Cricetulus griseus: one gene and its partners. The protein of the gene in region 2 purifies or fractionates together with the protein of the main gene of each other region. This does not show direct contact. Links are inferred from orthologs where the notes say so. Each region holds a gene or a part of one and is shown on either strand. Other genes may lie near its edges. The genes, in order: Asf1b, Nasp and Asf1a.

The links.
Region 1: the proteins of Nasp (region 2) and Asf1b purify together in Homo sapiens (affinity purification with mass spectrometry; 5 studies listed by BioGRID and IntAct, counting the BioPlex papers as one, with this or other methods). This does not show direct contact. The link is inferred for Cricetulus griseus from reciprocal best matches to the Homo sapiens genes NASP and ASF1B.
Region 3: the proteins of Nasp (region 2) and Asf1a purify together in Homo sapiens (affinity purification with mass spectrometry; 6 studies listed by BioGRID and IntAct, counting the BioPlex papers as one, with this or other methods). This does not show direct contact. The link is inferred for Cricetulus griseus from reciprocal best matches to the Homo sapiens genes NASP and ASF1A.

Annotation. Positions count from the first base shown.
Region 1 is NC_048596.1:160,459,113-160,463,406, forward strand, and holds the start of Asf1b (histone chaperone ASF1B), read right to left. Parts: upstream 2,842-4,294; 5' UTR 2,685-2,841; coding exon 2,576-2,684; intron 2,074-2,575; exon of another isoform or gene 2,033-2,073; intron 1,968-2,032; exon of another isoform or gene 1,932-1,967; coding exon of another isoform or gene 1,850-1,931; intron 1-1,849. UniProt on the Homo sapiens protein: Histone chaperone that facilitates histone deposition and histone exchange and removal during nucleosome assembly and disassembly. Cooperates with chromatin assembly factor 1 (CAF-1) to promote replication-dependent chromatin assembly.
Region 2 is NC_048595.1:35,763,300-35,767,662, forward strand, and holds the start of Nasp (nuclear autoantigenic sperm protein), read left to right. Parts: upstream 1-1,476; 5' UTR 1,477-1,599; intron 1,600-1,950; exon of another isoform or gene 1,951-2,024; 5' UTR 2,025-2,063; coding exon 2,064-2,122; intron 2,123-4,363. UniProt on the Homo sapiens protein: Component of the histone chaperone network. Binds and stabilizes histone H3-H4 not bound to chromatin to maintain a soluble reservoir and modulate degradation by chaperone-mediated autophagy.
Region 3 is NC_048595.1:255,430,292-255,432,950, forward strand, and holds the end of Asf1a (histone chaperone ASF1A), read right to left. Parts: intron 1,217-2,659; coding exon 1,004-1,216; 3' UTR 527-1,003; downstream 1-526. UniProt on the Homo sapiens protein: Histone chaperone that facilitates histone deposition and histone exchange and removal during nucleosome assembly and disassembly.

The DNA of each region.
Region 1 (4,294 bases), on a different chromosome or scaffold from region 2:
GAGACAAACAGATCAAAGATCTGTGAGTTCTAGGCCAGCCAGAACTATGTAGTGAAATCCTGTTTCAAAAAACAAACAAACAAAACCCCCACTATTGAGGAGGAAGAGATGGTGGGTTCCTGGCTCATTAGACAGCCAGCCTAGTAGTGTTAGAGCTCCAGGTTTTGCAGAGATTAAAATAGGTAGAACAGGGCTGGAGACTGCCCATGGGTTAAGAGCACTAGCTGCTCTCCTAGAGGCCAGGCAGGTTCCCACCATCTGCATGGTGACTCCCAAAGTCTGTAACTCCAGTTCCAGGACACCCAACTCCTTCTCTTAAACTCTGTGGTACCAAGCACTCAAGTGGTACCATAAATACATGTAGACAAAACACACACATTTTTTTTTTTAAAGAAAAAAAAATGGTACAGAGCAATGAAGAGCAGTTGAGGAAGACCATCTGGTGTCTCTAGCCCACACCCACAAATTAAATTCAAAAAATAAAATTAAAAAAAAAATCTGAACTCAGAAACAAACTTCAGTGGTAACACTTTACTGTCTGGCTGACTTGGAGAAATCATCCTGCTCGTATTACAATGGCCAGCAGCTGACTTTAGCCTTGATGTCCTAATTCCATAAATAAGGAATCAAAGTAATATTAGGTAATGACCATGCAACCATTTTTATTTGCAAAGAGCACACTCAGGCTGATTGAAACCTGCTCTCTCAGCATCTGGGAACTGTGATTCCATTGATTTATGTCTCCTCTTGGCTTCCAAATAAATCTTATCCCACATTGTTACCCTATATTTTATTTATTTACACCCTACCTTGTTCCAGCAAGGATTTAACCCAGCTTTATTCTATAGTTAAGCCACAAGTAGATTCCTTTAAACTTAAGGAGAAACTAGGGAGAGGATCAGCCAGTGGCCCACCCCAAGCACACATTATAGCAGCTCCAGGTGAACAGAAGTGGCTGGATTTGTCTGAACACCAACCACAGCCACCAAGAGGCACTAGTTTTCACAACCTAGCCTCTCAGAGCTCCACCTCCTCAGCTGCTACATCTTTCAACCCTCAGTAGGAAAATGAGGAGTGTTTCCTCCTAAAAGCAGGACTTGCCTAGTGTTAATATTTTGTTTATGATCTAACAAATAAAGCTTGCCTGAAGATCAGAGTGCAAAGCTAGCCACACTAGCTAGCCATAGAGGCCAGGCAGTGGTGGTACACACCTTTAATCCCAGCACTTGGGATACAGAAGCAGACAGAGCTCTGTTAGTTCGAGGCCACCTGAGCTACACAAAATTGAGCCAGTCTGAAAGAGAAACAGAGCTCAAAGAAAGGTGATCTCAGCACTTGGGATCCTATACCTTTAATCCCATCAATAGAGAGGACTATAAGGCGGGAGGAGACAAGGATGTGCAGTCTGAGGCAGTCTGAGCAGCAGTACAGTCTGGACATGCAATCTAAGGACAGGATCACCCTTTCTGTCTGAGGTAGAGGTAAGAGCTAGTGGCTGGCTACTTTGCTTCTCTGATCTTCAGCTTTAACCCCAATATCTGTCTCTGGGTTTTTATTAAACATGCTACACATTGCCTTGCTGTGGAGCTGAGACTACAAAGTGACCTCATGGTTAATGTGTTCACAGACTTATTTCAAAGGTCTTTTGGTCTTTGTGGCCCTTGTCCTGTCATCTAACAGCCACGTCCACCTTTATGTCCTGCAGATGAATGAAGTCATTCTGTGAAAGATTCACAAAGGCCAGCGGTCTCTCTCCCCAGCTGACTGAAGTTGAATCCCATCCCTGTTTGGTCAGTCACCCCCCACCACCACCAGGTCAGCCCATCAAAAGGAAGGAGGGATTCCTTACACTGAGTCTGCTGGAAGCTGGTAGAAATCCCAAAACTGGCAGAGGCCTGCCTGGCTGTAGCACCCCTTTCCCGAGTGTTCATCCAATCCCAGACCAGGAGCTGGGGAGGCCAAGTTATCTACAAAGAGCCAGAAGACCCCATCCCTCCCCGGGGGAAGGTCATGCATAGGATATGGTACTAACCTAAAGAGAGGCCCCGGTCTGGACAACAGCCATGACGTTACAGTTGGCTAGGAGGAGTTGCTAGGGACAAATGTGGAGATGTCTGGGGATGGTATCGATGGGAGACAAATGGGGTGGAAGAGGTCTTGCCATGGGCAGACAGGGTAGCAAGAGGAGGGTCTGCTGGTCTGTAGAAAAGCCGTCCATAAGGAAAATGGGGGAGGGTACTGGAGGTTGGGTTTCCATGGAAGAGAGAATAGATGGGAGGTTTTCTATGGGGAAATAGGCATGAAAATGGAGTCTAGCCATTGGGAAGAAGGCGTAGCCGCGGTCTCTTACACGCTAGATGGAGGCTTACACCACTACAAAGAAAAGGTGCCAAGGACAAGTGGTTCAGGACGAGGGGTGCCTCCACGAGACAGTGCAGGTTACCGTGCACTGGATCCTATCCACCGAGTTGGACCACGGAGGCTTATCTCTGAGTGGAGAAGTTCCCGGGGAGGCTGGGAGTGGCAAAAATGAGGGCAAGAGGGTTTGGGGTCCCCTGCACAGGCCCAGCCTCACCGTCAGACAGGGCCTCACTGCATTCGAAGCTGATCTCGAACCGGAAGGGGCTGTGGAAAGGGCTCGGGTTCTCCAGGACAGCCACGTTCAGCACCGACACCTTGGCCATCACCTCGCCAGGGGGTCACAGCTGCAGTGGAGCCTTCTCCGGTGTCCTGCGCAGCCAATGGCGGCTGGGGAAGAGGAGGTCGCCGAGGCAGAGAACCTCTCAGCGACTCCAACTCTTCTCTAAAGAGCGTCTCGCGTCCGCGCGCGGCCTTCAAATAGCTGACTCCACCCTCCAGCCAATCGCCGCTAAGGATCTATGACGGCGCGAGAGCCCCGCCAGCCAATCCTGAGGCTTCTTCCGGTTTGCGCCTCGACCCGCGGACCAATCAGAGAAGCTTCCTCTTCACGGTCCGCGGGAGGCGGAACGATCATCTTTTAGCTTCGCAAAGTGTCCATCCGGAACCAATCCCTAGCGTCTCCGACTCGAATATCTTGCGCCGGGGTGGGCGGAGTTAGAGCGCGGAACTTCTCTTGTCCAATCCCAAGGGTTACCGCATCGGCGTGACCCGCCCCCTCATTCTGCTCTTCCGGTAGGCACACCCCACAGAGAGCAGAGCCACTAACGGCCGAACGGTGGCGCGCGACTCTTACTTAAGAGCGCTGAAAGAAGGGAGCCAGAACTCGCCGTGATTGACTAGCGACCACGGGGCGGGGCTTCAGTAGGCTTCTGAGATGTGATTGGCTAATGTCGCGGCACAAGGAGGGCTGCGCTGGAAGCCGCCCTCCGGCTCAGTGAAAAGCATGAAGAGGCAAGCGTGATGGCGGCGCTCTGGCCTCCGTTTGTCCGCTGGTGAGCGTTTCCGGGAGCTCCTCTGAGGGACTCCTGGCCTTGAGGACAGCGGCCGTGAACATTTGGAGCACCCCTGAGACAAGATGGCGCGGCAGCGAGTGGGGACCCAGGATGGAGTCCCGGTCCGAAAGGAGTTGAAGTTCGTCGACGTACCAGGGTTTGGATCCTCTCTCCAGCCTGTTTTCCAACCGGTTGAAAAATTCACTGCGAAGGCCTGGGGTGGTGGCGCACTCCGGAGGCGGGGGCAGGCGGGTCTCTTGAGTTCGAGGACAGCCAGGGCTACATAGAGAAACCCTGTCTGGAAAAAACAAAAACAGAAGAAAGTTAACTGCCACTATTTATGACGATATAATGCGGTCTTCACTCCATGCCCCTCTGGCTCCCTAACCCTGCCACAGTCTCTTACACATACAACCAGTGAGAAATAATGCTAGCCACAGACCTTTTACTAATAAGTCTTTTAAAGGAAACAAAACAAAACGCCTGGAGTGCCGGTGTATATCCATTAATCCCAGCACTCAGGAGCCTGAGGTAGGCAGACGTCTGCGAGTTCAAGGCCTGCCTGGTTTACACAGTGATTTTGGGGAAGTAAATGAATAGATAAATTGGTTTTCACATTTGACCATCCTTAAAAGGCCAAGAAACGATGAGAGATTGATTTTAGTATTACATTTAACTCAATAGAACAAAAATGCTAATTTCAAACATTATCAGTATAAAAATGCTAATGAGCTATCCTGCATCCTTTTATTCAGTGAGAAATTTTTGGACTCCTGTACATGTTTTGAAGGGACCAGCTCCGTGTTTCGGCAGCCATAACAGCCTAGCACGTGCTTGCCTGACCTTGCCTTAGTCACTAAGAGGTCAGAAGCCTGCCTTGG
Region 2 (4,363 bases):
GAGTGCTGGGATTAAAGGCGTGTGCCACCAACGCCCGGCCAAACCCTGTCTCAAAACCCCCAGAAACGGGTGTGGTGACACTCAGGTAGCACTTGTGAAGTGGAGGCAGGAGGATCAGGAATGCAAGATCATCCTTGGCTATGTAAAGCTGGAGGCTAGGATCAGCTATATGATACTATCTAAAAAACAAACAAAATCCCAGTGCTCAGGGGGCAGAGGCAGGCAGATCTCTGAATTTGAGGCCAGCCTGGTCTACAGAGCAAGTTCTAGGACAGCTAGGTCTACACAGAGAAACCCTGTCTCAAGAAACAAAACAACAATAAGGGTTCCTGATTTAAATATCTTATCTTGTTTAACATTAAAAAAAATTTAAAAAGCTGGTCAGTGGTGGTGCACATCTTTAATCTCAGCACTTGGGAGGCATAGGTAGGCAGATCTTTGTGAGCCATCAACGCCTGGCTTCCTGTACATAATTTTAAAAATTAAAAATATTTGAGACAGGATCTCATTATGTTTCTTGGTTGTCCTGGAATTCACTATATAAATCAGACTGCCTGGAACTCAGAGATCCCGAATGTCTCTAGAGTGTTGAGACTAAAGGTGTTTGTGACCACACCTGACCTTTTAAACAAGTTATTTTTATTATTATTATTTAGTTTTGTTTTTCAAGAAATGGTTTCTTGCAGGGTGGTGGTGGTGCATGCCTTTAGTCCCAGCACTCGGTAGGCAGAAGCAGGCAGATCTCTATGAGTTACAGGCCAGCTTGATCTAAAAGAGCTAGTTCCAGGACAGCCTCCAAAGCCACAGAGAAACCCTGCCTCAAAAACAAAAACAAAAAAGGTTTCTCGGTGTACTCTGGTTGTCCGGAGTCTAGCTTGGTAGATCAGGCTGGCCTTGAACTCAGGGAGATCCACCTGCCTCTGTCTCCTGAGTGCTGGGATTAAAAGCGTAGGCCACCACGCCCCACCAAAAAAGTTATTTTTAAAAGATTCCACTTTATTTTATATGTGTGAGTGCTTACTTGCATGCATATACGTGAACCATGTGTGTGCCTAGGGCTTCTGGAGGTTAGAGGACGACACTGGATACCCTGGAAGCGGAGTTACTGACAGTTGTAAAATAAGATGGGTATGGTGGAGCTCACTTGTAATTTCAGCACTTGGGAGGCGAATCTCTGTGAGTTAGAGGCCAGCCAGGGACATAGTGTGAGTCCCTTTCATATGTACTAAAGATAGAAGTAAGATAGCTAAAAAATTTAAAGTGTTTTAAGTACAGGGATTCAGCTCAACAACTCAGTGTTGGAATGTGGGTAGGGTGTCAGATGAGGGCGTCACTGGATTGGGCCAGCCAAAGGCGCGTGGATCTAGAGAGAGGAGGAAACATCCCTACTCCTTTGCCCCTCTGAGTTTTGAATCTAGCGCGATAGTTTCATCTGTAGCCAATCGTAGAGCAGCACCTTCTTTCGTCAGTAGTTGCTGAGGCCCAGAGCCACGAGTCTCTCGGGTCAGTTCTAGCCGTTGCTGTTGTACTCGTGCTCGGCTCTTGCGTTTCCATCCGTTAAGACTGAGAGGGCATACAGAAGACCTGTCACCTTCTCGGGTATCCCCGCCAGAAAGAAACCCTCGGCTACTCTTTCCACGCCCGCAGAGACTCACTGGCTCCACTTAACGTGGAGGCTCTGGCTGGCTCCATCAGAAGTTGTAGTGCCAAGATTCTGGTGCTTCTAACACGGCCAGCTACCGGGAGCAGGAAGTTCTTTTGTTGTTCGATTTTCTTTTCTTTCCAAGGAAAAGCGGGCCCGGGCGGGAAGATACCCAAACGGGAAGGGCTGCGGGGAGGTGTCCTTGTGACGGAGAGGTGTTGAGTTCTGGCCCTTTAAACCCAAGGGGGAGGATCCGGAAGTGGATGGGCGGGGCAAGCGGCCCCGATATATAAGAGGGCCCCAACCGCGCGGGGTCTCCAATCTGCCATTTTCTGTGCCTGAGTAAGTCTTTGCTGTCCTGAATTCTCTGTTCTCTCCACAGGCAGTGCTCTGCCCACCGGCCCACCGCGTCAGGGGAACGATGGCCACAGAGTCTACAGCCACTACTGCCGTCGCCGGAGAGCTGGCTTCCGCTGACAAGTAAGCCGGACTGTGGCGAGCGGGAGGCGCTGGCCAGTCCGTGGGGAGAGCTGTGGACTGGCTTCGCGGGCCGGAGGGCGGGCGGGCGGCGGGCCCGGCGGGGGGGTGGGACAGCTGCCTTTCCCTGGAGAACTGCGGCTGTCCGGAGGGAGCGGGGCTGTGGAGAAGCCCCCCCCTCAGGCGGCGCTGGCGACCGGCGCTAACGGCGGGCGGCTGGCGCCCCCTGCCCGGCTTTCCGCGGCCGCCATCTTGCCGGGGGCAGCGGCGGCTGTCTCCATCGCCTGCCCTTTTTCTTCCTCCCCCGGCCCGGGGCTGCCGCCGGTGGGGAGGCGGGGCCCCCCCGTCGCCGGTCCCCTCTTGAGCTCTTACTCTCGGCGCACTAGCGGGAGAGTCTGTAGAGGAATCTAGAAAACGACCAACAGATTTGGCGCCAAAAGAAAAAAAAAAAAAAAAAAACCTACACACGAGGATTGAGGCTCAGACCTGAGGGACCCGAGTGGGCGGGGCCTCGAGGAGGGCGGGACTTTGCACGCGTGCGTTCCGTGTCCCGGCTCTGGAGACGGGGGCGGGGCCTCGAGGAGGCGGGAAAACTCCATTGTTTGGGGTTTGGAGCGGCTCCTGCGGCAGCCGCTGGGCGCAGTGAAGTTTATCTCGTTGACTGTGTAGTTGACTGTAACCCGCGGGGTCGTTACGCGACCGAAGCCCTGCGACTCTCCGCTTTTGCTGAGAACCCTCAGGGTGTCCTTAGACTTTCCGTGTGTGGGTCGGAGATTTGGTTGCTCCAGGGGTCATTTTCACACTGATGGCTTCTTCGGTAAACGCTACACGGAGAATTCCGTACTTGCTAGATGAGTCTGCTAAGATAAAAGGACCCCCCCCCCCCCAAGAGGGAATAATTGCTTTGAGAGCTTCACAGTGCTAATCAAACATGAGCTACTTTTTTGGATAGTGCACAGAAACGGCCCATCATTTGGAGGAAACAAGTTTTCCGTACAGTAGGTCCTACTTTCCAATCTTCCCTTGTCTTTTAGGTGCCTGCTAATATTTTTTTTTTAATTTATTTATTAGTTCTAGTTAGGGAACAAGCTTGTTCACATGTAAATCCCTTCTCTCTCTCCCTCTCCCTCCCCTCACCCCATCCCTCCTCCCCCACCCCCAGCCTACCCCCACTCCATCCACCCACCACTCCCCAGGCAGGGTAGGGCCCTCAACGGGGGGCTCTGCAAAGTCCACCAAATCTTCCTGTGCCTGCTAATATTTTTTTCCGTCCCTGTACATTTTAGAAGTTTTTCCTCTGGTAAAAGTAAAGTTGGCTGTGGGGTTTTTGAGTGTTTTTTTTTTTTTTTTTTTTTTGCTGTAGGTTTAGGCATACTAGTTGACTTTTCAATTAGTACAGTTGTACCAGATATTAACGTATCTTTGCATACTTTACCTGTCACCTTTTGGTTCCTTTTCTAGTGGATTCTTGAAAAGCAGTGTTTCTCAAATCACCAATTTCCTGCCTCCTCATTGATTTCTTAGGGCCAGAGTAGCTTGAGTTAGGAAAATCTGTAGAATTTATTTATTTCAAGACAGGGTTTCTCTGTGTAACAGTCCTAGCTCTCCTGGAATTCTCTTTGTAGATCAGGCTGACCTCAAACTCACTGAGATCCACCTGCCTCTGCCAGTTTGGCCTCGAACTCTGAGATCTGCCAGCCTCTGCCTCCCAAGTGCTGGGATTAAAGGAAGGCCTGTACCACCACAGACCGGCTTTGTTTTTTGTCTATAGTTTTTATTATTATTATTATTATTTTGAGTCAATTAAAAAAATGTTATGGGATTGGAGAGATGGCTTAGCAGTTAAGACCACTGGCTACTCTTCCAGAGGACCTGAGTTCAATTCCAAACAACCACATGGTGGCTCACAGCCATAGTGGGATTTGATGCCCTTTTCTGGCATGCATAAAGTTGTACATACCAGGCTGGTCTCAGAGATTCATCTGTCTTTGCCTTCCCCATGCTGGGATTAAAGACTTGCACCACTACCGACAGGCATATAACGAGGGCTCTTAACTGCTCATCTATCCATCTTCAGTCTCATTAAGTAAATTCTTATTGACTCACATGACTATAGTGTGAAGTCTTAAATTTTTCTACACGTCAGAAAAGTCAAGTTTAGAATGGAGAGATTGTCAAATTATTATTTTGAGTTTTCATTTCTTCAATTTCCATGAAAAATCTTGTCTGTCAGGAAATTGTATA
Region 3 (2,659 bases), about 220 Mb from region 2:
AAATTCCTTTCTAAAATTGTTCTTCAACTGTCTGGAAATCGGTCTAGAATATGTCAACTACAGATGTGCCCTGATCTTATCATTTTAATGAGAAGCAGAGGATATGGGGTATTGTAGCTGTGAACCTAAGACATACTTCTGAAGGTAGCCAGCCTAATAGGATAAAGCTAAGTAGACCTTTCTAAATTACCTTTCTGTAGCAACAGTGCCAAAAACACATGTTCGGAGTTTCTATAAACTGAATAGCAGATCTGAGCCATTATAATCTAATCTTATACTTTAGAAACCTTGCGTTTATTCTCACCATGTTGAAATCTTTGGACAATGATTTATGATCATGGTTTCTCAGTTTTAGAAGTAGGGAAGCATAAGCCATAGTCAGAAGGACTTCAAAGGTAGCCGCATTTATTACATAGAAACCAGAAGTCCAGTGTTAACACAAGCTGTGGTGGTAGCCACAAGACACACTGGGGTGGCCTAGAAAAACCTTGGTGGCTACAGTTGATTTCAGATTCCCTTTTTAAAGACATCTCTCTTTTTTTTTTTCTTTTTACTACAGTATGGAAGTTTGCTCCTTAAATTGAAAGGACACTGTCTTCACAGGAAAAAGCATTTTAGTTGAAGTAAACTTTGTTCTTTTAAAGGCTAGTAAAAAGTATTACTGTCCAAGAGGCTAAAACACCTTCACAACCTGGTCTAATAATTGATAAGTTTTCTTTTTATAAGTGCTTTAATTACATATAAAGAAGAAAATAATATATATATACTTTAACCAGATTAGTTTCATGAACAAATAAAATAACACATTAGAGAAAGAAAGTACTTAAAAATAGTTGTATTTATATTCCACAATTTGCTCAAATACTGGTTTTCTTATAAACTTTCTACAGGATGTTTTTAAACAAATTCTCTTCACATTTCACCTTGACTATGTACTTACGGAACTTCAGGGAAATAGTTCTGTTTTTAATAGCTTAATCTGTACTACTGGGATGGCACCTGGTCACATGCAGTCCATGTGGGATTCTAACATGACATTCAGTGAGTTTTCTGACGTGGACCATCCCTTTGATGCTGAAGGTAATGCATCTGTTGAAAGAAGGGACTGTAGATTTGGATTACTGCTCTCTGCATCTTCCAGTTTTTCTGTGTTATCTTCCCAGTTAATGTGGAATCTTGTGACTCTGGGATTAGATGCCAAAATATTTCTTTGAAGCTAGAAAAGAAACATTTAAATGATGAGCACCAGGAAAGTTAAGATTACCATATGCAAACTGAGTGGCTCTGGCAGTCCTTTTAAAGGACTAAATTCATATGCAAATGTATCAGCAAGTGAAGCACTTAAACCTAACTAATAAGCAAGGACTACAATAGCAAATAGCAAAAGAACTATTCCCCCTTGGAAACAAGGTAAGAAAAAAATCCATCTAGATCTTCCAACCTCCCCGCCCCCAACACACAAAGTACCTTGCTTTTATATTTCTGCTTCTTAAAGGATAATGGAAGGGAGGTACTTCTGCACACCCTTTAAAGGATGTTTTTAGTTAAATAAGCATGCCTTTAGCCTAATGTGTTTTCAGGCTGGGAACATAGTGCAAAAAAAGTACTCTGGCTAAGTCCCTAGGTTCAAATAAGCACCAAGAAATAAAACAAAAAACAAGACTTGAAAATTTTCCTCAAATAGAACCTCTAATTACTGGGATCTTAACTGTAATGTATTAAAATTCATTTTTAGAAACAGTATTCTAGTGTTTTGTTTTGTTTTGTTTTCTGCTATACAAAGGTTCTACTAATCCTAGCTCAACAGGATGTCTCTAAATTGTGGAAGATATCCCACCTGCACCAGCAGAAAGCAGAAGTCTCTAGTCTGTGGCAAGTCTGCCACATAGAGTACCACACAGAGTAAAAAAAAATCACAGTAACTAAGACTGGTAACCATTACCAGTTGAAAAAAATCTAAGATACTAAGTGATTTTAAGACTACTGAATCAGATTTTGATGTCTCAGAATTTAAGTTGTCATTATCAGAAATACTTAATACCTTTAGTTTAAGCTCTAATAATAGCAGACAGGATAACATATACAGATATTCTAAATATTAATAGAAATAAGCACACATTGGGCATGGTGACAACTGTAATCCGAAAGCCTGGACAACTGAGGAACAATGCCATAGCCATAGTTCAGGGCCACTTTGGGTTACAGCAGAAAGCCCTGTCTCAAAACCATCACAAAAGAAATGACCAATAAACCACATTTATCTTCTTGCTGTGATTTTAGGAAGTTATAGGCAAAAATATTTTTATAATCACTTCACTACAAAAATAAGACATTACATGTCCTCAAGGTTGAAATAAAAGACCTAACGGCAATGAAGGCCTGCTCTTTGCAGGAAGCTAGACCATCTGACTCAGGGTACCCATGGAACATTAATTCCTGGAGAGACAGGATTGAGGCCTTCCGTGCAAATGGAACAATTAGTTTGTTCAAACACTACAAAACTTCAAATTTCTTTACGGCCATGTTATAGAATGAAATAGCAACCCCCCTCAAAACTGAATAGTACACATAACTAAAAAGGAATACTAAGAGCCAGGCAGTGCTGATACACACCTTTAATCCCAGCACTTGGGAGGCAGAGGCAAGTGGATCTCTGAGT